Linked DNA regions of Notamacropus eugenii. The protein of the gene in region 1 interacts with the protein of each later gene in a pairwise test. Links are inferred from orthologs where the notes say so. Each region holds a gene or a part of one and is shown on either strand. Other genes may lie near its edges. The genes, in order: CIAO1 and CIAO2B.

Region 1 (15,167 bases):
TGCTGGGGATATAAAGAAAGGCAGAAATATGCACCCCCTCACCCAAAAAAAAAAAACCACACCAGTGTCTCCTCTCAAAGAGCAAACAGTTTAAAGGAGGAGACAAAAGCAAACAACTCTGTACTAGACAACTCCAGACAGCATAAACTAGGAGTGGCCTCAAAGGGAAGACGTGAAAATTAAGGAAGACTGAAAAAGGCTTCTTACAGGAGCCTCAGCTTAGCTTGAACTTGAAGAAAGGCAGGGAAAGTGGTGGAGGGGAACAAGGGGACATCCCAGGCATGAGAGATAGCCAGAGGAAATGCTCAGAATCAAGGGATGGTAGAGACCAGGTCGCTGGAGTACAGAGTACACAGAGTGGCATACATGTAAGACGACTAGACAGGCAGAAAGGGACCAGATTAGGAAAGGTTTTAAAAGGCAAACAGAGAATTGTATTTTTGATCCTGTAGGTGACAGGGAGCCAGTGGAGTGTACTGAATAGAGAGGGCGTGTGTGTGTGTGTGTGTGTGTGTGTGTGTGTGTGTGTGTGTGTGTGTGTCTCAGACCTGTGCTTGTACTTTCAGAAAATTACATCTCAGTGGGGGATGGACTGAAGGGTGGAGAGATATGAGGCATGGGAGAGGAACCAGAAGAAGTACTACTGCAGCTGTGAGATGATAAAGCCCTGTACACCAGGGTGGTGACAGTGGCAGAGGAAAGAAAGGAGAATATATGAGAGATGTTAAGAAGATATAAATGACAGTTGACAATTGATTGGATTGGGCAGGGGGCATACATAGTCAGGGGCTGAGGAAAACACTTGTGTTTTAAGTCTCAGTAACTGGAAAGACAGTGGTTCCCTTGACAGCAATAGGGAAGCTCAGGAGAAGGGAAATAGTTTGATGGGAAAGCTCCTGAGTTCTGTTTTGAACATGCTGCATTTAAGATTCCTATGGGACATCTATTTTGAAATAACTAACAGGCAATTGATGATGCAGGACTGGAGCTCAGGAAAGAGTCTAGGGCTGGATAAATAGACCTGCAGAGAAAACATCACTGAGCCCATGAGAGCTGATGAAGTCATCAAATGAGAGGCTAGGGAGGAAAGAGAAGAGGACCCAGAACACACCTTGGAAGAAACACAAGGTTACTGGGTGTAACATCAATGAAGATCTGGCAAAAGAGAATGAGAAGGGACAGTGAGACTTGTTGGAGAAGAACAAAGAGACACCAGAGTCCCAAACATCCAGAGAAGAGAGAGGATTCAGAAGATGCTGCTGAAGAAGAGTCAAATGATGCAGAACTCAAGAAGAATAAAGACTGAATAGAGGCGATTAGATTTGACAACTAAGAAATCACTGATAACTTTGAAAAGAGCAGTTTCAGTTGAACAATGAGGCTGGAAGCCAAACTTGCAAAGCATTTCAAAGAGAATGACAAGAGAGGAAGTGGAGACACCGATTACATAGGTTTTCTCAAGTTCATCCACAAAGGGGAAGAAATATAGAATTATGGTTGGCAGGCATGATAGCATCAAGTGAGAATTTTTCAAGGATGGGAGAGCCTTGGGCAGGTTTCTAGGTGGCAGGGAAGAAGTCAGTAGATAGAGAGAGAATGATGATTAGGGGATAATGGTGGGAGCTGGAGAATACAGTAAGGGATGGAATCAAAGGTGCAGGTAGATGGACTGGCTCATCAAAGATTGGAGTGAAAGAGGAGATAGTGGGGAACCATGTCAGAGGGATAAGAGGGAAGGGAGAAGAGGGTGGCCTCAGTGAAATGTCCTGATTCTTTTGGTTAAAGTATGAGGTGAGGACCTCAGCAGAGAAGGGAGTCAAGAGGCAGTGGTGTGAGAAGTTTGAGAAGAAAAAATTGTGGTGAGTAGAACAGGGAAACATCTAAGGAAGAGGAAAAGACTGGCTTCCTGTAACTTGAGGTCCCAGTTGAGATCAGCTAGCATAAATTTATAACGGACCCAAATGAATAGATACAGAAGAGACAGACAATGGGATTAAGTGATCCAAGGTTCAGGTCTGGCAGGGAGCGACTGGCAAAAGGACTAGGGAGCTAGAGATGCAAGAGCAGAGGATAAAGTTAAACTGGTTCACTAAGGGGTCCAGACTGGGAAAGGAGGACCATGTAGCCAGAGTAGGAGAAGTGAGCTGGGATGGAGTGCAACTGGATGTCATGGTAGGAGGGCTAAAGTATAGAGAGAGCTGGAAAAATAAAAGAGGATCAGATTAAGGAGATATAGTTACTTGACATGGAAGGAGAAGAACTGTGGATAATCAATGTCAAGGGGATGATGCTATGTATAGCTCAGGTCAAGTGGAATAGGAGCTGAGTGGTCTGAAAAACTGGGAAGTGAGGGTATCTGAGGAAACATTAACAAGGATGCTGAAGTCCTCTAGAACGGGGGAAAGAGTTGAGGCAGACAGGAAGACAGTGAGTCTGGAACTGAATTAACGTAGAAGGGAGGGAAAATGTCCTTGGGACTAGTAGGTAACAGCCACTTGAATCTGGACTGAATGATAAATCTGGATTGAATGACCTTCAAAAGAAGAAAAGTTCTGCTTTTTAAAAGCTTTGTGACTTTGGACAAATCACTTAACCTCTCTCAGGTACACTTTCCTCAGAATCCCTATCCCACTATTAGTGATACAACAAACAAAATCAATTTAGTTACATTTTGAAAGAGAATAGTTAATTGGAAAAAAAAATTCTTTGCAACAAGTTTCTCTGATAAAGAGAAATCAAAGATCCATAAGGAACTAATTCAAATATATCAGAATGACAGCTGTTCCTCAAAAGATACATGATCAAAGCATATGAACAATCAGTTCTTTAAAGAAAAAATCCAAGCTATCAACATCCATATAAAAAAAATGCTGCAACTCCCTAATAATTAAAGAAATACAAATTATAACAACTTTGAGGTTCCAGCTCATACCTATCAGACTGGCATTGAAGATGGCAAAGGAAAATAACAATTGTTAGAGGGTCTTTGGGGAAACAGATATGCTAATGCACTGTTCATGTACCAGAGTGCTCCAACCATTCTGAAAAGTTATTTAGAACTATGCCCCCAAATGCACATTTGTACTATGTATACCCTTTGGCCCAGCTACAACTCTATAGCCCAAAGAGATCAAAAAGGAAAAAGACTCAAATGTATGAAAATATTTATGGCAGCTCTTTTTGTTGCAGCAAAGAACTGAAAACAAAGTAGGTGCCTAGCAACTGGAGAATAGTTTACCAAAATATGGTGTATGAATCTAATACGATATTATAGTTTTGGAGAATGCTGGGAAGATTTGTATGAATTGATACAAAATTATTTATACAATAACAACGTAATAAAGAAAAACAACTTCGACCAACCATGATTCCAAAGATAGGCAAAGAAGTCATTACCCACTTCCTGACAGAGGGGTGACAGATTTAAGGGTGTAGAAGTAGACATATTTTTTGAAAGAGCAAATTATATATTTATTTTACTTGTCTATGTTTATTTTATACAAGGATTGTGTTTTCTTTTTTTTTTTTTATGGTTGGGATATAATGTAGGAGAGGAGAAAAGGAACTATTTCTAAGAGTGCCAAAAAAAAAAATTATGGGTCATTATTCTTAAAATGCACAGAAAAGAAATGAAGGAAGTTCAGAAGGAAACAGATAATCAGCATGGCTTTGAAAATAATATGACTTCATTATATACTTAAAATTTTTTTACAACTCAATTCTATCTTTAATTCCAAATTTTCTTTTTCATCCTCCCCCACTCAATAAGAAGACAGTGCATTAGTATACCTGTTTTCCCACAACCCCTCCAGAATTTGTCATTTTTCTTTGTCCTCTTAGCCAGTCAAGCAAAGCCAATATATAGATAGGCGGTGAAGTGGATAAAGCACCTGACCTGGAGTCTGGAAGTCCTAACTTCAAATCCAGTCTCTAACACTTACTAGCTGTGTGACCTTGGGCAAGTCACTTAACCATCTTTGCCTCATGTTTCCTCATCTGTAAAATGAGCTGGAGAAGGAAATGCCAAACCACTCCAGTATCTTTTTGCCAAAAAAATACAAAGTGGGGTCACAAATAGTCAGATAGGACTGAACAACAACAAACAGCCAACCTGATGGGTGTAAGGTTTTAATTTTTATTTCTCTAATTGTTAGTGATTTAGAGCATTTTTTCATATGGCTACTGATTGCTTTACTTCTTCCTCTGAAAACTGCTTATTCATATCCTTTGACCATTTTACTATATACTTTTAAAGAACAAGCTGTACATAATAGATATTTGCATTTTTACACATAACTCTCCTTTTCTTTCTATTTAGTATATGGAAATATTCTTTTTTTGGCATAGGTTAAATTCAGAAAAAAAATGTAAAGGGTGGTTGTTTGGAACTGAAATGAGTTCATGAATATGAAAATATTATAAAAACTTGAAATGACTATATAAATATAAGATGGTATGTTATTATAAAATCTGGTCCTCTCAGGAAAGGACAAAATTAGAACAAATGATTACTTTGGGGCAGGGGGAAGAAAGGAGAAGAGAGATAAAAATTTAATTTTTAAAAAATAAAAAGAAAGCAGTGGGGATTGAAAGAAGCTTCTTTATTTTAATTTAAACCAATTGTTCTATTCTATTCTACTCTGACATGAAGACAAGTCCCTAGTGGATGTCATCAGATTTTGTTCTTGAGTTCTTTAAGCTGGTGGGCATAACGAGACTGCCACCTCTGGCCACACAAAAAGGTCTGTTGTCATCTGTAACAGGATCCTGGGGAATTGACTTTGCCCAAGGTCACTGGTGAGTCACCAATCTGGTCTTGTTTTGAAAGCTCTGGCTCTTCCTGTCTGCCTGTTCATCACTCCAGTCACTGCCTTACTCAGACAGACTGCAGGCGAAATGCCTAACTTTGCTTCAGAGTAGCTCCCTTTTCTTCTTCCCTCTGTCTTACTGGCGCCCCTGTCAACTTCAGGTTACTGCCTGACAGATGGGAAAAACCTCTGATGGACTCAGTTCCTCTTAGCACTAAGAAGACCCACCTGTTTAGTCTTTTTTTCTCCACCTTGATTTGACTGAATCCAAGACAGGGAGCTGACACTTGATCCTAATAGTCTTCTGAGGGAGTCTGTCACCATAGTAACCAAAAAGTCAAAAGGAAATATATAAATCTGGTCTTGAATGAACTAAAGGCACCTGGAAGGATCTAGCTACACATATGCCAACTAAACCTCAGATGTACTGTCAAATCCCTGGAAGATACTTGAAATTCCAATGGCTGATCATCAACAATGATTCATCAAGCAACAAATCTCAACCTTCCGCATTCCTAAAAGATGTTACTCCTGAAGCTGTATCCAATACACCACCCAGCAAACAGACCTGGGAATTAAAGAAAGCTTTTCCATTTGAGAGTCATCATCACTTTAGTCTTTCTTTGAAGGATACCCTAACCTCTTTGGAGCACAGGAAAGCTGAAGATATCCTTTGAGCTGGTCCTAACCCTGATTTCTCTATACAAGGCAGGCCTTCGATTAGGGGATTTGAAGCAATTTAGGATGACCCGAATGAGATCAAACTAGCCTGTATTTGCCAGTCTCCAAAGCTTCCTGAATCATTGCTTAAAGCTAAATATTTCTCCCTGTAAAACACTAAGCCTCAACATCAAAGTAGCCAAGAAGATAAGGACGACAGCCTTGACTGGCTTTGGAAGATACTAAACTTGAAAAAGAAAAACCCTGGATAGCTCTAATTTAATGAAGAAGAATTCCCTTCTGATTCAGTCCAAGGCTAACTGTCCATCTTTCCCCAATCATCTACAAAGATTTCCCAGGGTTTCTTCCTCCTTCAGGAACTAATTAAATGAAAACAGATTTTCAACCGGAGGCTTTAATAACCTTCCCTTTTGTTGGTATGTTCAGGGATAGGAGAAATCCTGGATTTCTATGACGCACTAGGACAATCTTTCAGAGTCCCCCAAAGAGCTGGAACCAAGACTAGGCTATATGTTCATTAATCTGGTTCTCTTATGGGCTACAAAACTCCTATGGGCTTCAGCATAAAAAGGAAAAGGAAAGTAAGTATAAAGTAAGTAAGATACACTACCAGATACTCGTCCCTTCTGGCTCTCTCCTACTGCTTTATTTTTTCTAATGTCTGTGAGTGGATAACTGGATATCATTCCCAATGTCAAATTTATTCACCAACAGGCCTTGTATGATTCTAGCATGAAGAAGATAAAAGAGGTGGTCCTATTTACCAAGTTATTATGTAAAGAAACTATAATAAAGGAAAAGTTCACTGCACTGGTCTTTAATATTCCTATTCAATATGATCCAATTTTTAAACATATTCAATACTTAATTTGTCTTTAATGTTTCAATAGACTTGTAACGTTAATGCTGCAGGAGGCAATACATCCACACACCTTTTATCCTGTGTTACTGGCATTCATGACCTCACAGACATCTTCCATAGAAGATCTACCCAAAGTATGAGAGGCCTCTCTCTTAACATTCTGCAGGGATCAGTGAAGCCTTGGGGCTCTCCATTTATGATTTCTCATTATCAGGACATGAGTGAATCACCTCCTTTTTATGAAATCATACTGTATTATATACTTTTTTTGGAAGAGACAAACACATAAACAAGGGAAATCCTATATACCTAATTTATATAGTGGATCTTCAAAATGCCTGTGACAAGGATCCACAACCAAACTGAATTAACGGAATTGCTGGCAATGGGAAAGCTTTGTTTTTGACAAGGGGCAATCTTAATAGGGAAATGAAAAATGGATTAAGAAATGTAAAAAAGAGGGTATAGGGTACCATACTAGAATAAATACTGGAGTCAAAAGACCTAGGGACTCTATTCTTGTTCTAATTAGGAGTGTGACGTTAGGCAAGTTACAATTACTTTTGGTCCAAGTTTCTTCAGCTGTAGAATGAGAAGTCAGGATTAAAGTATTCACTTCACTTTTATCCAATAACACTTCCAATGTTAAAATTTTATTCCACAATTCTCCCATGAATGATGGTATACAGGGCACAGAAAGTAAAATTTCCTGATAGCCAGATGCTAAGCTCTCCCAATTGATGAAATACAAAACAATAAACTATAGGAAAACATCACAAAGTTAGAAAAATGGCATATGACTTTTAATGTGGAACAATTATACAAACCATACTTACAAACATACTTACATTACATACTTAGTTTGTGATCTGAGCTATCAGATATGTACCAGGAAAGAGATCTAAGTGCTGTCCCAAAACCGTTCCCTGAACAGATCAACCCAATGGGCCAATGTAGTACTGTGTATCACCAGGGAGAAAAACTGAATTTGTTACACAGTATACGTAGAAAATCATAGTACGTCTACATCTCGACAGCTGCGTGAAGCCTGGGCTTCCTAAATAAACATATCATCAAGTTGGGGAAGGATCTAAAGACAACTAAAGCAATCAAGAGAATTGAAAGGTGGTGAAAAAGATGAGATTTTTCAGCTTGATAAGAAGGGAAGGGCAGGGCAACATACAAAGATATGCAACGGTCAGCAGAGAAACTTGTTTATATATTTCTCAAAATAGGAGAAACAATCCCTTGAGTTTGAAAGAGTCAGATTCCTTAAGTGTTATGGGATAAATATAAATATGAGAAAGTTTAAGACTGGCCTAAAAATACATTGACATCATGTCTATAACGTGTTAAAAGCTGGGGATATTGAGGATCATAGATAACTTTTTAGATTAAAGTCAAAGGAAGGATGTCTATGCTTCCAAACCAAACATTCCTTAATGCCACTGTCAGAGACAATGACGGTCAAAACAGAATGCTAGCATAATCCGATATAACATCTGTTATAGTCTTATAGTGTACAAGGACACTTTTGTAAGGGTTATGAGGAAAACTGGCTGTCCTGAAAACTGTAGACTGCTACTGTCAATGAGTCACTAAAACAGATCTGGCTTCTAAAAGTATTTGAGTGAAAAGCAGAATGCCCAAATTCCATTCACGACTCCACCACAGGAACACACAAATCACAGGCATATGCACCACAGACACAAACACCCTCTTGTGGGCCTTGGTTTTCTTCTATGAACAAAGAAAGGAGGATAATCTGTTTTCTTCTATCTCACAAGAAAGGTAAAGAGGTAAAAGGAATCAATCAACTGAGCTTGTTAGGTACAATGTAACATTTCCAATAACCGCAACATTTGACCGAATTTACATAGAAAAGAGGAAAATGACATTTCATTCAGAGAGGCCAATAAGTGAAGTACAAGATACCTTAAGCACTACTGAAAGTCCTACCTCACTATCAGATAACCATCAGGAATCCTTCCTGTACCCTGGTAATTTCCTAATTGGCTCCCTTTTACTTATTCTCTTTCTTTTAGGAAGAATCCCAATCAACCAGAATCTTGGAGCTGAAGAGTCCTCAGAGGTCACCTCGTCTAAGCCCCATCTACAGAAGCCTGGACAAGTGGTCGGTCACCCGACCACTCTGTGGAGCCCTCCAGGGATGAAGAAGCCACTAAAGCGGCCCGATTCGCTTTCTGACAGTAATAATGACAATTCTGAAATGGTAAGGGTTTCCTTGGATGCTGTCAAAATCCGCATGTTCCAGCTATGGAGTATGCCATAGAGGTTGTCTAAATAGAATGAAAATTAATGAACTGGGTCGCCTCAGACAGAGCCACCTGGTGGGCACCAGCACGGGAAGGACGGCTGCCCCCACAGGCTCCGGCTCCGGCTCGGCTCCGTCCATCCCCCGGCCCCTCCCCCACCCAGGACGTCGGGAGCATCCTTACCTTTGAGCAGGTCTGGGTCCACATAGCCCAGCACGTCGGCCACTCCCAGCTCCTGCCGGGAGCAGGTGCCCCCATGGATGTGCAGCCAGGCCGGCTCGGCCAGCGCCGTGCACAGGGCAGTGATGGACAAGGCCCCCGGCAGCGCGGAGGCCAGGCTCCGCTCGGGCTGCTTGGGCAGGGCGCTGCCCCCTGGGCCTCTCCGCCGGCGCCCACCGGGCAGCCCTGCGCCTCCCGGGGCGTACATGCCGGGGAGCCCGCCGGGCTGGGCCCGATCCTTGGGGACTGATCGCTCGCTGCTCGCCCGCTGCCGAGCCTCAGCTGACCGAAAGCCTGGGTGAGGAGAGAAAAGGAGGGTGCTGTGGGGGGCGGCCCGGCTCGCACCCTGGCACAGCGGGGGGGCGGAGTCCCGGCGCTCGGCGGAGAGGGGGGCCCGAGCCCGTCACTCCAGCTGGGGGAGGGGGGTACAACCGGCAATCCCAGGACAGCCCCCATCCCCCGGCCCATCCATCCATCTACCCATCCTTCCGCTCACCTCTTACCGGGGGTCGCGACACGCAGCTCCGGGCCCGTCACCTCCGCTCCCCGCCCCGGGTCCGCCCGCCAGGTTCCCCGGCCGAGCGATCCCGGAGCCCTAAACCGCAACGCCCGGACTCGGCCAGAGCCCGGTCCACTTCCGGCTTCCTCCCTCCGCACCCCGCTCCCCGCCCCCACCCCTCCTTTCCCCGGCCCACTCGTCATGACGCCGCGTGCGTGTTTCGTAAGCCTCCTCCCCTTTCCTCCCCTCCCCCCACCCCGTCTCTGCTGCTCCGGTATTGCATCCAGGGACTATTCGGGCTCCGCCGGATCCTGTTCTGGGAAGAGTCCGCTTAGCTGCGAACGGAGTGCCAGCCGGCCGCGGCTCGTGAGGCAGCAGAAGAGCCGATCGTGCTTCCGAGGCCCCAGGCGACAACTACAACTCCCAGAAGGCAGTACGGCAGCCGGACCCTGCGGGCACTACAGTTCCCAGGAGACTTTGGGGCCCAAGAGCGGAAGTGGCGGGACCCTGGGGGTCGCCGCGGGAGTCTGCAGGCGAGTTACTGCTAGAGTTCCGACCGGACCTTGACTCGGCCTCCTACGGGGCGGGGGGCGTCGGAGTGCAGCCGAGCCGGAGCTCCGCCATGAAGGACTCCCTGGTTCTCCTGGCCCGCGTGCCAGCCCACCCAGACTCCCGCTGCTGGTTCCTGGCCTGGAATCCTGCCGGGACCCTGCTGGCCTCGTGCGGCGGTGACCGCAGCATTCGCATCTGGGGCAAGGAGGGTAAGGCTCTGTCTCCCCGCCCCCCTCCCTTCGGGGCCCTCGGCCTCCCCTGCCCCCCGCCCCCAAATCGGGCGTAGTGATAGCACGCACCAGCGCTTCAGTTCCCGAAGCTCTGGGCGCTCCCTAGTCGAGTGAGGGAAGATTACGGGGTGATCCTCGTCTCCGAGAGGTTCTGATAACACGCCCTTGATTCCTACTGTCAGCAGAATTCGAACCCAGGTCTTCCCGGCTCCGAGCTTTTGCACGTCACGCTACCTGCCTCCCCCCACCATCCTGGAATTGTTCCCCAGATTCCTCCCCTCCCCCATCCCGCCAGTCACGTCCCTCCACCGCCCCCCAAAAGAAAAGTGTGAGGTCCCCGCGGTGCTCTGAGGTGAGCCCCTCCTCCGCACGCCCCGCTCCTGGCTGAGGCTGTCCCCGCATCCTTTCTCCCCAGGGGACAGCTGGGTGTGTAAGTCTGTTCTGGCCGAGGGTCACCAGCGCACCGTGAGGAAGGTGGCCTGGTCCCCCTGTGGGAGCTACCTGGCGTCGGCAAGCTTTGATGCCACCACCTGTATCTGGAAGAGGAACCAGGACGAGTTCGAGGTAACTAGGCTGGAGAGCAGGCTGGAGAGCAGGCGTGAGTACCACGGACAGGTTCTTCCAGCTTCCTGGCAGAGCCCGCCTGTGCTGGGCATTCTTCATTCATTTCAATTGAGCGTTTAATATAGTATTCATTATTACTTATTCCCTGAGTGCTAGGCACTTTGTAGGAGGGGAGGCTGGGGCTGTAACACAGCATGCAAATACAGATAAATGCAAAATGTATACAAATAATTATCTAAGATGGAGGAAGGGAAAAGGCAGTGATTGGGAGGATCAAGAAAGGCCTTCCTGGACCCTCTCCTTTCATTGACTTTCACCCACTATACTTTCCAGTGTGTAACCACCCTTGAAGGACATGAAAATGAAGTAAAGTCAGTTGCTTGGGCCCCATCTGGTAGCCTTTTGGCTACCTGCAGCCGGGACAAGAGTGTCTGGGTCTGGGAAGGTGAGTAGCATGGCTTGGGGGAGAGTTAAGAAAGGGGGTGGATTGCCTCCTTGTTAAATGTTGCCTTGATGGGTTTGGCTGTTGGGCTTACAGTGTCCTTACCTCCTACAGTTGATGAAGAGGATGAATATGAATGTGTCAGTGTTTTGAATTCACATACACAGGATGTTAAACATGTGATATGGCACCCTAACCAAGAGGTAAGAGTCTGGGGTAGGGGCATCTCTTGGCACAAAAAGTATCTGAATATGGGACTGCTGAGATGCTCTCATGTTAAACAGTCTTAATTCTATCCCTCCTGAACTTGGACTCTGTTGTGTTGCAAACTGAAACCTTGAAGCTACTCTTAGAAATGGCCTTAATAAAGCCCCTCCAAGCTGTAAAAGTCTGTGGGAAATAGTGGGAAGAGATAGTGGTCATTCCATAACTCCTTAACATAGGCTGCTTAGATGGTACAGTGGATAAATTTGGAGTCAGAAGACTTGAGTTCAAAGCTGTCTCAGACCTTTACTAGCTTTGTGATCTGCCTTAATTTTCTCATCTGTAAAACAGGAGTGACGATACCTGTCAAGATCAAGAGAGATGTGTAAATGTGACACCTGTGATGTTTGCAAATCTGAAAGCACTATACAGATGCTATTCTAACATCCCTAGCAATGTTGATATGTCCTGTGTATGCTCCTTCTAGCTGTTGGCATCAGCCAGCTATGATGACACGATAAAGCTATACCGGGAGGAAGAGGATGACTGGGTATGCTATGCTACCCTGGAGGGCCATGAGTCCACAGTATGGAGCTTGTCCTTTGACCCCAGTGGCCAGCGCCTGGCATCTTGCAGTGATGACCGCACTGTGCGCATTTGGCGCCAGTACCTACCAGGCAATGAGCAGGGTGAGTTGCCAGAAACTTAAGGCAGAGAATGGTTTCTCTTAAGACTTGGATTAGAGTCCTCTGGAGAACATCTGCTACAAGAAGTAACTTGGATGTTTTTCAAACTAATTGGAGACTTTTTTTTTTAACAGGAGTGGTCTGCAATGGCTCTGACCCTACCTGGAAGTGTATCTGTACCTTATCTGGCTTCCATTCTAGAACCATCTATGATGTCTCTTGGTAAGTCACTCATTCATAAAGCTGGTACATGCATATGCTGCACTGCCTTCTGCTCATTGGGATTGAGCCAGATTGTTGATTTTGCCAGATGTGGCCAGTACTGGCCTGATATAACAAGTGCACAGTAGTCTCTAGTCTGGGAGTATTTAGAAAGAAGGTGTGTAGGCCTGGAGATCACCTTGATTTGGGCTATGATGATATGAATACTATTTCTCAGTCATTATAACTATCAAAAAATGAGTGCCTCTGTGTCTGGAGTATATGGTGTTATTTCCCTTATGATATATTAAGAAAGACTGGAAAGTAGTTTCAGCACAAATTCTGGTTGAGTTCTAGACCTCTGTATTGAAAATAGCTTAGGGGACCTTTCCTTCAATCTCTGCCAAGCTAAAACTACCTCTAAAATTGCATATAATAATGTTCATAGAGGTTTAGAAAAGTTAGGATTATATGGGTTGATTTCTATTCTGCTCAAGGAAGACCGTGAGTAAAACTTGTGGCTGAATTCTAAGGGAGACTGGAATTGAGAGTCCAGGTTGGGAAAACTAGTACCTCCCCCAACATCACGATTCCACTTCCCCAACATCACGATTCCACTTCTGCTTAGAATTGACCTATGCATTGAAAAGCAACATCTTTCTTCCTAGGTGTCACCTAACAGGGGCCCTGGCCACAGCCTGTGGTGATGATGCCATCCGGGTATTTGAAGAAGACCCCAGCTCAGACCCTCAGCAGCCATCATTTTCCCTAACAGCTCACCTACCCCAGGCCCACTCCCAGGATGTGAACTGCGTAGCTTGGAACCCCAAGGAGCCAGGGCTACTGGCCTCTTGCAGTGATGATGGTGAGATGGCCTTCTGGAAATACCAGCAACCAGAAGGTCTCTAAGGCCCTTTTCGCCACCCACATCCTCTGAAACTTTTAGCAGAGGGATAATATTGACTTTTCCCAGAGGGGAAAAAAATGAGAATCAGTTTTCCCAGTCTACATAAAAAGCCTGAAGAAGCACAGTGCCCACTTCACTCTCTTCATGTTTGAACTTAATCCCCTGCGCTAGAATCACTAATTTTTCCATCCTGCAACTTGGGGCCTGCCCCCTAGTTCAATCGTGTAAAATAAAATGTTTTAAAAATCTTATCCTCAGCTTTTGTTTGCATTCAGGTGGGTATGGAGTATTAATTACTTAAATATCTATACTATGTATATGTCCAATTTCATTTTGGGAAATTCCCACCAAAGTGAATAAATTGACTATTTAAAAGAGAGTGACAGTACTGGATGCTAGAAATACCTTTCAGTACACCTTTAATCACTTCTCTTCAGCTCTGTATCTCAGTTTCCCAAGCCATTTTTGCCAGCCTTATGACCACTGTAAGTATTCATGACCCATAGAAAAATTTCCAGCGACTACAGGGAAGCTGGGAGTGGACCAGCTCAGTAGAGCTGGTTCTGCTCAGATTTAGGAATAAGAGTGGCTCATATTCTTATTAGCACCTTCTTGTCCATTTATCTATATAACAAGTTATATAAAGGATAAATTTAGGAAATAATCTCAGAAGGTACTAACATCGGGGACCAGGAAAGGCTTCTTGCAGAAGGCAAGCAGGGCCAGAACTCAAGTGTGCCTTGCACTCCACAACCTGTTTTGAATGGAACCCAGGAATAACTCACTACCAAAAATGTTCAAGTCTCCTTCAGATCAAATTTAGCATGTTTTCCAGCTCCACATGCTTTCGAAGAAGTTGCGGAAGATAGCAATTCAAGGAAATCCACAGATTTAGCACATCCAACTTTGGCTTCTCAAACCTGCCTGGATCATCTACTTAAAATAATACTGTGCATATGAGCTGAAAAGAAGTGAAGAAAGCTGTGTGTAAAGCTCTATGTAATAATATAATATGACTGTACTATATGGCTCACTGGGCAATTTATGCTGCCCCCTGGTGCTTGGAAACTGCAGGACTTCATAATGCTGACCAGCCTGTAGGATGGCTGTTCCAAGGAAGCTAGGGTACTAGTGGCCAACATGTTACCCTGATTTGAATTAGCCACCCCTGTCATCCCCTAAACCACAAACCCAGTTTCTGACCTGACCTCATTTCAGTTAATGAGGAAGGTAATAAGTGAGAACTTGAACCCTGACCAAAAATTCTGGAGTGGTTACCTGAGAATAGCAATTGGCCTCATAATGCATTTACTTGTACTGAGGAGTTACATCTGGCCAATGGAGCAGGATGGAATACCTACCTTAGGCAAGGGGCTGTCCATGAACCTTTACTACTAAACAGAACCCTTTCAAAAAGTAAAGATAGTCAAGTCAGGGAGTCTTCAAATAATTTTACTAGAATATTCAAAACTCAAAAAAAGACCTACAAAGAACCACATTAAAAAAAACTGTACAAGTTCCATTCTTCAGCATAGCCAACAAAAACCAGTAGACATTTCATATTACTAAGGGGATTTAGGGCTAAACAAAATATAAAGGATGAAAATCATGACAGCTAAGCCAACACTAGCATGATTCCCTCACATATCAGATCTTTGAAAATCCAGGGATTGAGACAACTACACATTTTAAATCCTAGTTTTCTGTGAGACTAAATGAATTCCCTGGGACTCAGTCAGAATCACTATCACTTTCTGCTTCCTTCACATCCACACTGAATTTGTATTCCTGGTCACATCCCATGTAGGCATCACTCATAAAGTAGAGAGTGTAATTATGGGCACCAGTGGCTGGAGCCACAAAATCAAGCTTCACCTAGAGAAGGAAAGAAAGAATGAAGATGAGCAGTTCTAGGATTTAGAGAACCTGCCCTTTCTCTCCACCTCCCTCCAGTACTGCTCCTTCCCCACCAGGTAATGCCTGAACAATTCACTCACCTTGGCTTTCTGCTGTAGTGTCAATCTTTTGATGGAGAT
Region 2 (15,283 bases), about 87 Mb from region 1:
GTTGGAAGTGCAGTTGGAATGAGATATGCAGAAAGCCATTGCTCTCATAGCTGGGGACTTGGCAGACAAGGTAGATAAGAAGGGGATAAGGTGAGGGACCCCTTGGAAGACAGTAATACAGGGGAAGATTTAGAAGATGGTATATAGAATAGAGAGAGTTTCATTCTTTCTCTCCTTTCCACCCTCCCTGATAGCAGCAGCCTCAGAGGGGTGGGTGGATGAGAGAGAAATATATTAGGAAATAAATATTAAGTAAGAAAAATATATTCAGTGAAGATTATTTGAGATATGACTGGTAAAAGCAAATAGAAGAAAGTAAGAGAAGAGTCAGATCAAAATATGAAAGAAACAAGAGAAGTGGTTTTAAAAAGACTTTAATCAAAGTCCACTAGAGGGATATGTATATAAAAGGACGGGAGAGAAACTTTAAACATATAGGAATGAGAGGAGCATGGCAGAAAGAACATCGTTATCTGTTTGCATAGACAGTATGAACAGATTTGAGAACAAATGGTTCAGAAATTTTGGAAAGAAAAGTTGTTGGTCTGTTTGTGCTTCTTGTATCTGTGCTAATGTCTTTCTATATCTGGTTAGATAATTTTAAGCTTTTAGAAAGATTTTCTCTTCCTTTCTGTCACGCGCGCGCACGCACGCACACACACACTCACACACCTGAATAACTGGTTTATTGTTTTACAGCAAGAGAAGAAGGTAATTTCACTGATTATCAAGAGGCAGATTTGGGGGTTGCGTCAGTGAAAGTTTCAGGGCTTGCACTCTGGAATTGCACTGGCACTTAACCCTTTCCTGGTTTACGAAAAAGGGAAAAGTTTTTGTGTACCAGGACACAATCAAAAGGTAATTGAATTTATTCTGGTCACATTTTAATGAGACACATTTGAGATGTCTCTCTTAATTTGATGCTTAAGACAGGTCAGAATTTATTATATTATTTGGTATTAAGACAAATTGGGAAAATGTTAACCGGGTAACCTTAAACAAGTTACCTCAGTTCACTTCACATGAGCGTAAAGTGCTTAACACAATGCCTGGCAAAGGGCAGACACTACAAATGTTAACTGTCATTATTATTTCCTTAACTGGATGTAATTGCTTCATACTTAATAACTTTGTATGGGATTTTAGATGTGACTTAGATTAGATTAGATGCTAGTGGTGATGAGATGCCTGATTTTCTGCATAAGGTAATTTGGAAATGCATTCAACAGGATTGGCATCATCTGATCAGTAATGGGTTGGTTTCAAGTTTCAAATACATAATTTGTACAAATTGGTAAATTTTTGCACCACATATGTTTTTATAACTTGAATATTATTAGAGTATGAACTGAAAGAAACTAAAACAAGGTAGAAAAATTGTGTAAAATCAGTTATGTTATTTTATTAGACCTACTAACCCTGTTTTATGTTTTATAAATGCAATTTAGGGAACTGGATATTTTCACCTTTACCTGCATTTAAGAGGTTACATCTACAGCAATTTGGCCATCATTTATGAAAGTGTAAAAGTGTTAACTAAGTTATTCAGGTTATTATAATATTAAAACTTAAAATTGGTAATTGATTACTGTGTGTGGAAAGGAGGGATATGAGGGTGTGCAGCAAGATTATGTATAATATACAAATGATTTCTAATGATTGGTCTTTACAGTAGGACAAATTCGAACTTGAGAAGAAAATAAAAACAAGTGAAAAATATTAAGTAAAATTTCATATATGTTTGAGTCCTGGTAAAAATTTATTGCTTATTGTAACTCCATGAGAGGAAAAATAACTATCTAACCCTAGCTGTGATTGGTGAAACCTGCCATTTGAAGCAAAAGTTCTTGGGACTGTAACTGATTTTGTTTTAAGGTCTGAGTTCAGGTATTGTCTGATGGATCAAGTCAATAATCCACCACTTGAGAGAAATGCTAGAAGCTACTCAGGAAACGTGACCCTGATCTGTCATGGGTAGAGGTTTATATTTGGGAGAAAGCCGAGAGGACAACCTTTGGCTTAGGCTAAGGTAGGATCCTTCTGTCTCGGTATCCCCATTGTGTTCCTTTTGAACAGGAATATTTTAAACCTAGTTATTCCTAAATCTGGCTAAGCAGTGGAATTGTTGCTGCAAGATTGGTTGTCAACTGTGACTCTTGCCTGAAGTCAAACAGAGCTAAGGATGCTTTATCCTGCCATATAGATGTTGAATCATTAAAGACCAGTTTGGTGTGTTATAATGCTGTCGCTGCTTTTTCCTTTTATAGCAAATTCCCTTACTCTGAGCAAGTGATCAATAGAAGACATGGGCATAATGCCCATGTATGTGATCATGACCTTACTGTTTTCAATCTGAATGCGTAGCCATTTTACATCCTCAGCAACTTAGTAAATGAGTCTATGGCCTAATCATCTGCCTATTACTATACATACAGGCACACACACATATATGTGTGTATGTATGTATATGTATATACATATGCATGTGTCTGCATGAAATAAGGTCCTTAAAATGTTTCAAAACTGTGTAAGGATAACTAGGCATTGATACAGCTGTTTGTGGGACCTAGCTATTCTATTAATTATTAAAACTAAATTAGAAATATCTTCAGTTTGATTTGGGGAAAATAATCTTAGTGTAGTCAGTTTCTTAGAGGGATGTAACTCATGGAATATTTTGTGTTATATTAATGAAAAAGTCAATTTCATTCAAGTTTATTAGTAATGTGGAAATAATACCTGTTTGTACTGCATGTCCTGTAGTACAAACATATTTTATTATAAACAACTTATTTGATATGTACTGTTTTGGAATTAATTATTTAAGTATCCTCCCATGTCTTTTATTATAATTTATATATATAATTTTTTATATTTATAAATAATTTTATTATACTATTTTATTATAATTATTATAATTAAAGTCAGCCTCGTATAAGTAAATAAGTAAATTCATTTGTGTAACCATTGAACTTAGGTGTGGAAAGCGTCTATCTGCAAGTGTCGTTACTTATGTTTTCATGCATAGGACTGATTCTTCAATAACATCTGATCCTCCTAAAGTAATTGGAATGAGAGGAAAATTGTGAGAAACTAACAAGATCAGACAATCCTGTATGTAAATATAAATTTCTAATTCTAATGAGATATGCAAAGATTTAGATTTTCTGAAGTTTCAAATCAACGATGGGTTCCTAGTTTGATGTTCCCCTTATAGCTCTATTGTTAATAAGAACAGAAGTCCAAGGTTTGTGCTGGTTTTCACAACATGAATTAGTTACTGGAAAATGAAATTTCAGAGGCTGTGCCAACTTATATTGAGATTTGTTACATAAGAGATTTTAGCAGGAACATCTAAGGAGTCTGGGGAGGCTGTCAGACAAAACAGTCTCAATAATGGAGAATGCAATCTGCAAAGACCCCAGGAAAGCCCAGTGATAATTATAGGAAACAGACAAGGGAGGAGTATATAGGCTATGTCATTACAGATTACGGGTTTTAGCTTAGTAATGAGTTTATTTTTGAGCTTGGGCATTAAGCTAGTGCTAGTGGGTAAACGCCTAAACACAGAGTTGGGACTGGTCATGTACCGGTCATCATGTCTATGTTTAAGTTATAACTTTCATATCCCACTGTGTTTTTTGCCTTTTCCCCAAAAGGAACCCCACAATCCACCCCTGAAAGCCTCCCATGCATTCTTTCTGAATATCTTTCAGAAGGTCCCTGGCATGGTTCTACATTGGGGCTTTTGGGGTCATTTGGGATATAGCCAGAAGGGACATAAACTGCAAATGCAACACAAGCACAGGTAAGAAAACAACATGACCAATAAGAAAATTCCCACAATTGTTACAATTTGTGGGTAGTAAAGGAAGAAGCAATGGTATTTGATAAGCCCAGTTTCTGAACTTAAATTAGTACAAGTCAGCTGAATTTCTGAACTAGGTTCAGGGATAAACGTGGCTTGTGCAATTTTACAACAGAGAATGGAATCGATTACAAAATGGGATTAGAATAATTTGATTTTCTCGACCCTCAATGAAAGACTTGTCATGACTTTTTCTGACAAGTTAATGTAAGGACAACAAGCTTAACCAATCACAGCACGGGCCCCTAATGTAAGTAACCCAGTTGATTAAACTATTATCTATAATTAATCTGCAGCTCCCATATTAGAAATTAGAAAACTAATTCCTTTGTTTGGACAAGCCGAGAATATCCCAATGCATAGGGACATCAGACCTTACAGCAGGGAAGTGACATGGGCACTTTGCTTCTTCTGTTTGGCCCCAGAGGGAAGAATCAGAAGTCAGAGGTAGAAGTTGCAAACAAAACAAATTTAGGCTTAAAGTAGGAAAAACTTCCTAATAATTAGAGCCCCCTCAAAAGTCAAAGAGAGAGTTCCTCCTCCTTAGGGGTCTTTAAGCAGGCTTCATTCACTCCACTTGTTGAGTACGTTATAATGGGGATTCCTTCCATGCATAGGTTGAAGTTAATGGTCATGAAGGTCCCTTCAAATTTTCTGAGTCCTTTTGTTTCCCTGATCCTCCTTTGGCATGTGAATACCTTTCCCTGATAGAATTCAAGTGAACAACATTATTAGACAAGCAACAAAGAGACACGCTTTTGTAGACTTTCAACAGCTAAGCCCTACAGACCTGGTCAGTTTTAGGGGAGTCCAGGCTCTAGGGAGAGTTTTGAGGAGGAGATTCATAAAGGAAGTTGTCTCCCTCACCACCCTCATCAGCCATGGACTCTAGTAGTAAACTAAGAGACTTCATCCAGAAGACTGAGAGTTCTCCAGGTTCACCTGGACAATGCTTAGTTTAAAAAAGCAGAAACACACACGGATACAGATACTACTTGGAGGAAACAAAGAATGGGACCTTTGGCTGCTGAGAAGTAAATAAATAAGTACTTTGTGCCAGGCACTGTTCCAAGCATTTTACAAATATGATCTCATTTAATCCTCACATTAGCCCTGGGAGATAGGTGCTTTTATTCCCATTTTATAATTGAGAAAACCAAGGCAGACTGAAGTTAAGTGACTTGCTCAGAGTCACACAGCTGGTAAATGTCTGAGTCCAGATATGGACTCAACTCTTCCTGACTCCAGATTGAGCATTGCATTCACTGAGCCACCTAGGTGCTTATGAAGAAAAGACCCTGGGAACCCAATGGAGCACTCCATGAAGAAAGGACTTTCAGTTCTATAGTACCAGGAATTGTGAGTAGCCTCTGCCATATGTGTACCAACGTTCCTCATTGCTCTCACTGCCATTATATTCTAAGTATGAATTCATTCTTCCTATCAATGCTGGGTCTATGTCAAGCATGCCTTTGTTAACAGATGGAATGTTTCAAAGCTACTGTCTTTACAATGTCACCTTACTATGCCCTTGCATAGTAATTGTATATACTGACTGTTAATGGAAAACACATTGGTATAGGCTTAGAAGCTACACTATTAGGAGTGCAGACCCAAAGGATTACTCTCAGAACTCAAAGTAGTAGCAACCCTCTGGCAACCCAACCCACAAGTCAAGAGTACAAAAGAGGAAGTCATCCAGAAGGGGAGCTACTTGTTATATCATGGCAGGAGAAAGGACAACAAAATAAAGAATAAACATGTAAAGAAAAAAATACAAGGTAATTAATGAGTAAGGGTCCTAACAATTGGGGTGGGAGGGGAGGGACAAGACCAGGAAAGTGTGTAGAAGGTGAGGGATTCTGTTAGGTGAGATAGAACTACATTCCAGGCATGAAGGATACAAAGGCAAGGGGAAGGTCAATGTGTAGAGAGAAAAGAAAAGGCTAGTTTGGCTGGATGGAAGAGGAGGGAAAGGCAGGTAATATATAATGAGGCTGGAACAATAGGCTGGCACCAGATCTGAAGGATGATAAAAAAAAAACAAGATACTGGCTCATGGGTCAAATGAGCAAATATGTGTAAAATGCTTTGAAAATTTTTAGTTACTAAATAAATGTGAGATGGAATGCCAAGTTCAGATAACAAGCCGAGATCATCTTGGCCAGAACACAGTGTTCATGGAAGTGAGGATGTAATGTGAAGTAAATGGGAAGGTAGGCTGCTGTACCACTACAAAGGAAATAATTTTAGTAACCGAGTGGAGGGTGAAGTGGAGACAGGAGATAATGAGAATTCAGATGAGAGACGATACGTGGTGAGCAGCGACGATGACTTCAAGTCTGCAGGTGATGGTGTGGGTAGACATGCTGTGGAGGGGGAACAAACAAGAATGAATTCCAATGACCTGAATCACTGAGAAAGACATCTATTAATTCTCCCAGCTTTTCTGTATAAAGTATTATCAAGCCAGTTCTCTATCCTGTACCTGCACAATGAATTTTAACTTTTTTTTTAGAACTTTTTAATGAGATACTCTACCCTGAACAACAGAACCTATTAATCATATGCTTCAAACTATGCTCTTTAAATAGGCAAGGGAACAAACATTTATTAAGCACCTACTATGTACCAGGCTATGGGCTAAGCCCTTTACAAATGTTACTGTATTTGAGCCTCACAACAACCCTGAGAATTGTTGTTCAGTCGTTTTTCACTTGCATCTGACTCCTTGTGACGCCATTTGGGATTTTCTTGGCAAAAATACTGGGGTGGTTTGCCATTTCCTTCTCCAGTTCATTCAACACATGAGGACACTGAGGCAAATAGGATGAAGTGACTTCCTAGGGTCATACAACTAGTGTCTGAGATCAGATGTGAACTTTGGAAGATGAGCTTTTCTAACTCCAGACCCAGAGCTCCATGCACTGAGTCACTTAGCTGCCCTGGGAGGTGGGAGCTTTTATTATCCCCATTTTGCAGCTGAGGTAACTGAGGCAGACAGAAACTCAGTAATTTACCCACGGTCACATACCTCATAAGTGTCTGCAGCTAGATTTTGTTTCAGGTCTCCCTGACTCCAGGCCCAGGGCTCTATCCATTGCACCATCTTGATGCTGGATTTTTCCCTGAATATAGTTGAAGTTTTATACAGCTGCACATCATGTTATAGACTGATCTAGAACTCTCATCTTTGCATGGTACTGATGAGGTGCTTGAGTGCCTGTGCTTGGACCCTAATTCCAAGATCACATTTCTTCCTAGCCTTAAAACACTATCCCTGGAAGTTTCTTCCCACCCCAAGGACACTATGCCTAGCAATCACTCACAAGTGGCCCCAGCAAAACACTTCTCTCTCTCCCTGGCATAGTTAACAAACCATACCTGTAGGAATTATTAGTTTGAACTGGCTTTGTACTGGCTCATAAAGATATTCAGTACCCACTGGACTATCTATACCAACTCCCTACCTCATTATATGTTTCCTGCACTCCTTGTTAAGCGTATCCTAGATTTAAGACATATGTTAGCAAGCACCACTGGAGCTGAGCTTTGAAAGGAGCTAGGGATGCTAAGAGGGGAAGGGGAGGAGTATGATCTTCCGAGCCACTGGAGACCATCTGTGCAGGACAGGGGACAGAAGACGGAATGCTGCCCACAAGAAACAGCAAGGCCAACTTGGCCTGAATGTATGGGGCATGAAAGGTAGAAAGGTGTGATGATCCTGTTAGGGTGAGCAGAAGCGAGATTGTAAGTGGATCTACATGTCAAACTGTGGATTTTTTGTAGGTTTGTGGTTTTGTAGTTTTTAAATTCTAGAGTAAATAAAGAGCCAATGGAACTTTTTGAAGAATGACATCTGTCCTTCAGGGATATCATTTTCCCAGCTGTGTGGAGCACTGGACTGGATAATGAGTCCCAATGTGTATATGTGGTGCCCTAGCACCTCCAGGTGGAGGTGTCCAGCAGGTCAGGTAGGCCTGGAGTTAAGGAGAAAGGGTCAAGCTTTTAGTAGGTTTGGAGTCCTGGGGGGAAGAGGGGGCAGAGAGAGCAGAAGAGACAGACAGATGAGATCACAGAGAGAGAAGAAGGAGCAGGACACTCACAATGAGCCAGCCAGACACGGCGTGATCCAAGGCTCCCTGCGGGTGCAAACGCCTCTTTGAAACCTTCTGACTCCTTTTAAAGGAAGATTTGCTAATGGTGTGTCTTCCTTCTGGTCCTCTGGCTTCCATGACCATCTCTACACAGAGGGCTCCCAGGTCCTGTCCTCAAGCCTGAAATCCTTCTCTTCGTTTCCAGATCTGCAGGACCCCTCGGCCTGGGTGTGCCAGAGGCATCTCAGGCTCTGGGTTCTTGTGGCCAAGGTCTATCCCAACCTGCTGCAGGCAACTAGATGGCTCACCGGACCAAGCTGGGCCTGGAGTCTCCAAGACCTGTGTTCAAATCTAGCCTCTGACACCAGCTGCAGTACCCTGGGCAAGGCGCTTTAGCCTTTGCCTCAGTTTCCCCCTCCGTACAACGAGGATATCAGCGCTTGTAAAAATCAAGTGAGACAATAATCACGAAGCGCCTGGCACGTAGTAACAGGCATATAAATGTGAGGTATGTTATTATTATTATTATTATTATTATTTCCTTCAAGTAGGGCGCCAGTTCCTGGAAAACAAAGGCAGTTTCATTTGTCTTTGTGTGTGGAAGGCTTGCATGCAGAAGGCGCTCAATAATTCCTGAATTGAGCTGCTGAACCGGTTTGGAAAGAGTCCGGGTTAAATTTCCAGTGTAGACCCGTCCACCTCGCCTCAGAATCTGCAAATGCTACAAATCAGGGCTGGGTGCTCGGTCATGCGGGTCATCTAGGCTTAAGAAAGGTTACTAAAGCCGAAGGAACATAAAGGCACGCCGTCCTACGTCCCCGCCCCTGCCCCACCCCCGCCGAGAGCCGGTGGTTAAACATTAACCGGCACGCTCCAGGCTGACGCCACGCCTCCAGGTCCCCCAGTCCAAGCCACCCATTTTACACCGGGAAGGCTGCGGCCCAAGGATGTGTCGTGACTTGGCCCAGGGAACGCACGGGTCCAGCGGCCTCCCCGCGGCCGCCTCCGACCCCCTGATTCTCACAGCCCTTCCCCGTCCTTTCCCCTTAGGCGGCTTAGGGAGCGGCGGAGCGGCGCTAGAACGCAAGGGGAACGTTTTTGTCCTCTCCGCACCACCGTAGCCGCCCCTCCCGGAAACGCCCTCTGCCTGCTCGCGGCCAAAGCCGCACACCGGAAGTGAGCCTCGCCGGCAGGGGCGCCCCCTGAACGGCCCGCCTAGGGTCCGGATAACATGGTGGGCGCAGGCGGCGGCGCGGGCCTAGGCGGCCTCTTGGAGAACGCCAACCCGCTGATCTACCAAAGGTCGGGGGAGCGGCCTGTCACCGCGGGCGAGGAGGACGAGCAGGTCCCCGACAGCATCGACGACCGGGAAATCTTCGATATCCTCTGGCGAGTGGGAAATCGCGCGCCTGCGGAGCTTAGCGGGCCGAGAACCCCAGGGGCGGGGGCGGGAACGAGGCTTCGGGACTACGCGAGAGTGGGGGCGTGAGCGTGATCGCCCTCGGGAGTTGGGCAGGGCCCGGGTGGGGTGGGGGCGGGGCGTAAGCGCGATCCTCCTGGGGGAAGTGGGCGGGGCCTTGGAACCGGGGAGAGCGCTCTGGAGCGCCCCCTGCTGGCCGTGATGCAGTAGTGTTTTCCTTCACTCGCTGCGCACACCTGATCCGGTCCATCAATGACCCCGAGCACCCGCTCACCTTGGAGGAGTTGAATGTGGTGGAGCAAGTGCGGGTGAAAGTGAGGAAGGGGTGGGGAGGGAGAAGGAGGGGTTGTCCTACCGTCACCTTGGGGATTTCTGCCCCTTCCCCGGGTAGAGATGCCCCCATTCTCAGGGATGCGTTCTCAGCAGCTTTTTATGAAGTGCCAGGCACTGTGCAGAGGGCAGGGGATGTAAAGGAAAGGGAGCTGGCATCCTTTTGTACGAGTTTGTGCTTTAAGTTTAGGAAGTTTGCAGGGTTTAACAGAAGTGATTCACCCAAGGTCTCCCCGCTGGGAAGTGATGGGGTCCGAACTGGAACTCCTGCCTTTCCAGAACTCATGCTCTTTATCCCGGATGACCTCTAAAGCCCCCATAGACCCAAGTGCTACAGGAAGCCTTCTCCAAGCCCTCTTCACTCCAGTACCTAACCTATTCATTATTTCCTATTTTTCCTGACCTAGATTGCTACGTGTATATTTGTTTCTCCCATTAAATTGGAACCTCCTGGAGGGTAGGGACAGTCTTTTCCATCTTTTTGTATTCCCCAGCACTTATCAGTGCCTGGCACATAGCAGGCCATTAATAAATATTAATTGAATGGAATTGTTAAGGACTCAAATCCCCCATGACTTTCTCTCCTTGGATGGAGCTGCAGCTTCTAAGATAGCTGTTTTCTTTTGTACACAGGTAGAATTCTTTCCTTCAATATAGAAGAAACACTACATACAGAACTGTTTTTAATGTTATGAACGTAATACCAAAATGAAAAGGCATATTTCCATATTCATAGTAGAACAGAAAAAGAGGATTATACATGAAGCTGCAGATTCCCTATTATGGAGAACTTGCCTTTTTTTTAAAATAAGTACTTAAGTTTAACCTATAGCTTTCAAAACTGTCCTGCATGCCTATGCTGTTTCCTGGGCTTCTTTCCGGTCTCTTTTCTGTGCTTTAAAAAAAGATGCCTTGATGACTGTCTTAGAAAGGCAGCTAGGTGGCCCAGAGGTTAGAGTGCCAGTCTTAGAGTCAGGAAGACCTGAGTTCCAGTCACTCAGCTGTGTGACCTTGAGCAAGTAACTTAACCTCTGTCTGCCTCAGTTTCCTCTTCTATAATGATGATAATAGTACCTATCTCCCTGGATTGTTGGAAGGATTAAATGAGGTAATATTTGTAAGCTTTGCAAACCTTACAGCACCATGTAAATGTTAGTTTTGGGGGGGGGTGGGGCGCAGGGTTTGGCAGCCCTATGTCTTTCCCTGCTTGCCTTCCATCTCCCCTCTTAGGAAAAACAACATAGCTTTTATAACAAATATGAATAATCAAGCAAAGCAGATTCCCACATTGACTCTGTCCAAAATTATGTGTCTCATTCTGCATCTCACATCCATCACTTGTCAAGAAGTGGCTAGCAGACTTCATTAGTCTTCTGGAATCATGAGCATAGGTCATTTCATTGATCAGAATGCTTTCAAAGTTGGTTTTCTTTATATTGTTCTATTTTCTGGCTCTACTCTCTTCACTGTGCATCAGTTCATATAGTTTTTCCAGGTATCTCTGAAGCTATTCATTTCACCAATTTCTACAGCACAATAATATCCCATTACATTCACATGCCATAATCTGTTTAGCCATTCTGCAATAGTTTCCAGTTCTTTGCTACTACAAAAAGTTGTAGCAATATTAGCCACTATAAATAATTTTGTACATATGGATCTTTTTCTCTGATCCTGATTATAGGCAAGCAATAATATAGCTGGGCCAAGTCAACAAGCATTTATTAAGCTCCTGCTATGAGCTAGGCACTGTGCTAAACACTGGCTCAAATTGCATGTACAATTTATTGATGTTTTGATCATAGCTCCAAATTTCTTTCCAGATGGCCAGCCTAATTCATACTGTATCAGTATTCCTAGTCTTGGGGCAGCTAGGTAGATGAGCACTGGCCCTGGAGTCAGGAGGATCAGAGTTCAAATCCAGCTTCAGACACTTACTAGCTATATGACCCTGGGCAAGTCACTTAACCCTGATTACCTCTAAAAAGGAAAAATATACATACATATGTATATGACATATACATATGTGTGTATACTTATATTATCCTGGAGCTTTCCCCCCCAAACAGTTGTCATTTTCCTATTTTGTCTACAGCCTGATAGGTATGAGGTAAAACTTCGGAGTTGCATTTCTTTACTCTTTATTTAGAGCACCTTTTCATATGTTGATAGATTGGATTTCTTCCTTCCTGTTCATATCCTTTGACCACTTATCAAATGGGGAATGGCTCTTCTTTTAAATTTAAATCGATTCCTTACATATCTTAGATATCAGATTTTTATCACAGAAATTCAGATTTTTTTTCCAGTAACATAATTTCCTTTTAATTTTAACTGAATTATTTTTATTTCTACACATATTTTTTAATTTTATATAATCACAATTGTCCATTTTCTTTTCTGTGATCCTTTTTGATCATGAACTCTTTCCCTACCTATATATCCAAAATATAATTCCTTCTTTATTCCTCTAATTTGTTTATGATATTACTTGTTATATTTAAGTCATATATCCCTTTGGAGTTTATCCTGGTATATGATGTGAGATGTTTTCTATACCTGGTTTTTACCAAACTGCTTTCCAGTTTTCCTGGGAGACCTTACCCTAGTACTTCGGGTCTTTAGATTTATCAGACACTTTGCTACAGGGTTCATTTGCTCTCTGTGTTAGATGCCAAATCTGTTACACTCATCACCTCTCTGTTGTTTTTTTTTAACTTGTTGGTACCAAATCATTTTGATGGTTACTTCATTATGGAATATAGTTTGAGACCTGGTATGACAGGCCTCTTTTGATTCTTGATACACAGAGAATTCAGGGAGGGAAGCAAGGTGGGTCTGCCATAGTTTTCCTGAGCAGTTCTGTGGCAGTTTGACCATCAAGGAGGCACTATAAGAGCACGTAAGAGCCCAGGGAATCAGCATAGCTTTGAAAGTTACAAGTTGAATTTATTATAAACTTCAAAGTAAAGCATGCTGTACATAATAGAGTGTCACAATTTCATGCATGAGCTCCCCTTTTCTGTTCCACTTCATATATGAAAATGTTCTTTTTATTTGGCATTAAGTTCAGAATTTTTTAGAAACAACTTAGAGGCAGTGTGGGCCTTTGTGTTTAGGCATCAGTGTTGACCTAGGTGTTTTCCTCCCTATGGCAAGTTGACCTTGACATTGGGAGAAGAGCCCAGATAAACAGTAGCTAGCAGTCTCTCCTTCCTCTGCAGGTTAATGACAGAGAGAGTACAGTGGCTGTGGAATTCACTCCCACAATACCTCACTGCAGCATGGCAACGTTAATCGGCCTGTCCATCAAAGTCAAGCTGATCCGCTCCCTGCCTGAAAGGTTCAAGGTCAGTGAAGGACATGAGTGCTCCCTACTTACATACTAGCTCTGTACCTGATTTGTTAATTAACCCTTTGAATACTTTTAAGAGGAATTCAAGTGAGGTGTCTGTCACATTGCTGTTTCTTATAAAAGGCCATTGAGGAATGAAGAGCCATAAATCTCCTTCTAAGTCACTTTGCCTCATGCCCTGAGAGGCCTGGGAGATGGGCACTTATCAAGGATCAGACTTCTTCAAGGCCTTTTAGTGGTTCTTTCATTCTTCCTTCCAGATGGATGTTCACATTACCCCTGGGACGCATGCCTCAGAACATGCTGGTGAGTATAGTCCCCAGTCCTACACTTCTCCCCCTGGCAATGCCCTCTCAGTTCCAATGAAAACACTCACGAAAGGATGGAATTGGGTTGGTTTTTTTCCCTGGATTCCATCTACTCAGTATGAAATCTTTCTCCTTTTCTGGGGTCTGAATTAGGGCAAGTGACCTTCCCTCAACCCTTTTTCCCAGGATCATGATGAGTCAGGAGGAAAGATATGAATTGAAATCTGGCTATGGGCACCATCTCCTTGCCAGCCAACCTCAATTTCCCCCTTTCCTTCATCAAACATCCCATGACATCTCACTCCCTACTTTCTCTCTGCCTGTCAGTATTTCCACTGGGGGGCAGGGAGCCTTGTCCATGGATGGAGGTCTGGCCCAAGGATTGTGTCCCTCCTGGGGACAAAGTGCAGCAGGGTGTCAGGGCAGACAGCTGGCCACTGGTTTTCTGAACCAGCTAAATGAAGGGGAAAGGACGAAAGTGGGTCTGGCCAGAGGGGTACAGGGAGGCGGGTGTGGGGACCTGGGGCTTCTTGCAGTGACCACTTGCCAAGTACTTTCTGCTTACCTGGGTTCTGGGAGGGGGCACAGGAGACCCTTGAAGCATTTCTAACCTAATTATTGAGGAAGAATATAAACAGTTTAGAGCAGTGCTACAGTAGTGAGTATGAGCATTGCGTGAGATAGCACTTATTTATCATCATCCTCATCATTACTATTGCTGTTATTAAATTACTAATTATAAGTGCTTAGGAAATTACAAGTCAGGGGAATCAGTACAGATTAGGGTTAATCCAGAAGGTTTCACAGGAGATAAGTCCTGAGGATACAGATTAGTGAAAAAGGGAAGATGATTACTGCCAGGGAGAACAGAAGACCAGCGGGATAGAAGGCCCCCATGGGTCTACAGCATAGTTGAGGGGACTGGCCTTAATAAGGAAGGCCAGTCTGGACCAGGGCGTGCTGACCCATCCAGAATCAGCCTTGCAGGACAATGGAAGCCACAGGGAGTTTTAGACAAGAGGGTTTAAATGACATTCAGGAAGAGTTAGTTTGGTGCCTGATGAACAGGAGGCCAAAGACTGAAGAAGAGTGAAGTACCCCAAGTGTAGAAACGCAGTGGCTGAACAGGGGTGGCCATCTGACTACAGATCGCAGGGAATCCGAATGATCTTCAGAAGGAAGAAACAACAGACTTGGTAACTGACTGGATAGAGAGAGAATTAGGGCTGACACCCCCCACCCTTCCCGATAGCACAGCAGAAGGGGCGTTGAGCCTAGTCAGGAACTTAGGGTTCTAAGTCTGGCTTTCCAGAACTATGGCTTGAGACAAGTCAGTTTCCTTCCCTTGGACCCTTGGAGTCAGTTTCTTATGAAGTGAAGTGTGAGACTGAAGAGATCTTGAGTGTGTCCATTCCAGCACTCAGATTCTTTGTCCTGGTCCTTTACTTCACCTCCATGAGGTGCTTTCCAGTTCTGGCAATCTCTGCTCTGAGCCCTCAGACTGTGGAACCCCCTCCCTGAGGCAGGAGGTGCTGAGGAGCTTGGGGAGTAGGGGGGCTGCCTAGACCCTGGGGGCACTACTCCCATAACCCACCCCGCCTGTCTCTGCTTGTTTCTCCTCCAGTGAACAAACAACTTGCCGACAAGGAGCGAGTTGCAGCAGCTCTGGAGAATTCCCATTTACTCGAAGTTGTGAACCAGTGTCTGTCCGCTCGTTCCTAGCTCACTTAGGAGAGGCCACCTCCTGAGGGTCCTGCTGCTCTCACCTGTCCCTCTTTGTCCTTCCTGCCTTTCCACCTCCCCCCTCCCCCATTTGCCCTCATGTCCCGTTGTGTTTCTGAGGAAAACTACGTGGGAGATGCTGTGCCCACTGTGGCTGCTTGGCGAATGGCTATCTGAGTGGGC

The links.
Region 2: the proteins of CIAO1 (region 1) and CIAO2B interact in binary tests that used the Homo sapiens proteins (3 or more experiments, as listed by UniProt). The two-hybrid records come from large-scale screens. The link is inferred for Notamacropus eugenii from reciprocal best matches to the Homo sapiens genes CIAO1 and CIAO2B.

The regions. Positions count from the first base shown.
Region 1 is NC_092872.1:606,922,262-606,937,428, forward strand, and holds CIAO1 (probable cytosolic iron-sulfur protein assembly protein CIAO1), read left to right. Parts: upstream 1-9,697; 5' UTR 9,698-9,967; coding exon 9,968-10,106; intron 10,107-10,542; coding exon 10,543-10,691; intron 10,692-11,024; coding exon 11,025-11,136; intron 11,137-11,247; coding exon 11,248-11,336; intron 11,337-11,824; coding exon 11,825-12,026; intron 12,027-12,157; coding exon 12,158-12,245; intron 12,246-12,892; coding exon 12,893-13,133; 3' UTR 13,134-13,382; downstream 13,383-15,167. Other genes in the region: TMEM127 (transmembrane protein 127), read right to left, coding at 8,811-9,054; SNRNP200 (U5 small nuclear ribonucleoprotein 200 kDa helicase), read right to left, coding at 14,863-15,006, 15,129-15,167. UniProt on the Homo sapiens protein: Key component of the cytosolic iron-sulfur protein assembly (CIA) complex, a multiprotein complex that mediates the incorporation of iron-sulfur cluster into extramitochondrial Fe/S proteins.
Region 2 is NC_092872.1:693,999,232-694,014,514, reverse strand, and holds the start of CIAO2B (cytosolic iron-sulfur assembly component 2B), read left to right. Parts: upstream 1-8,892; 5' UTR 8,893-9,196; coding exon 9,197-9,344; intron 9,345-9,619; coding exon 9,620-9,699; intron 9,700-12,939; coding exon 12,940-13,065; intron 13,066-13,330; coding exon 13,331-13,376; intron 13,377-15,002; coding exon 15,003-15,100; 3' UTR 15,101-15,283.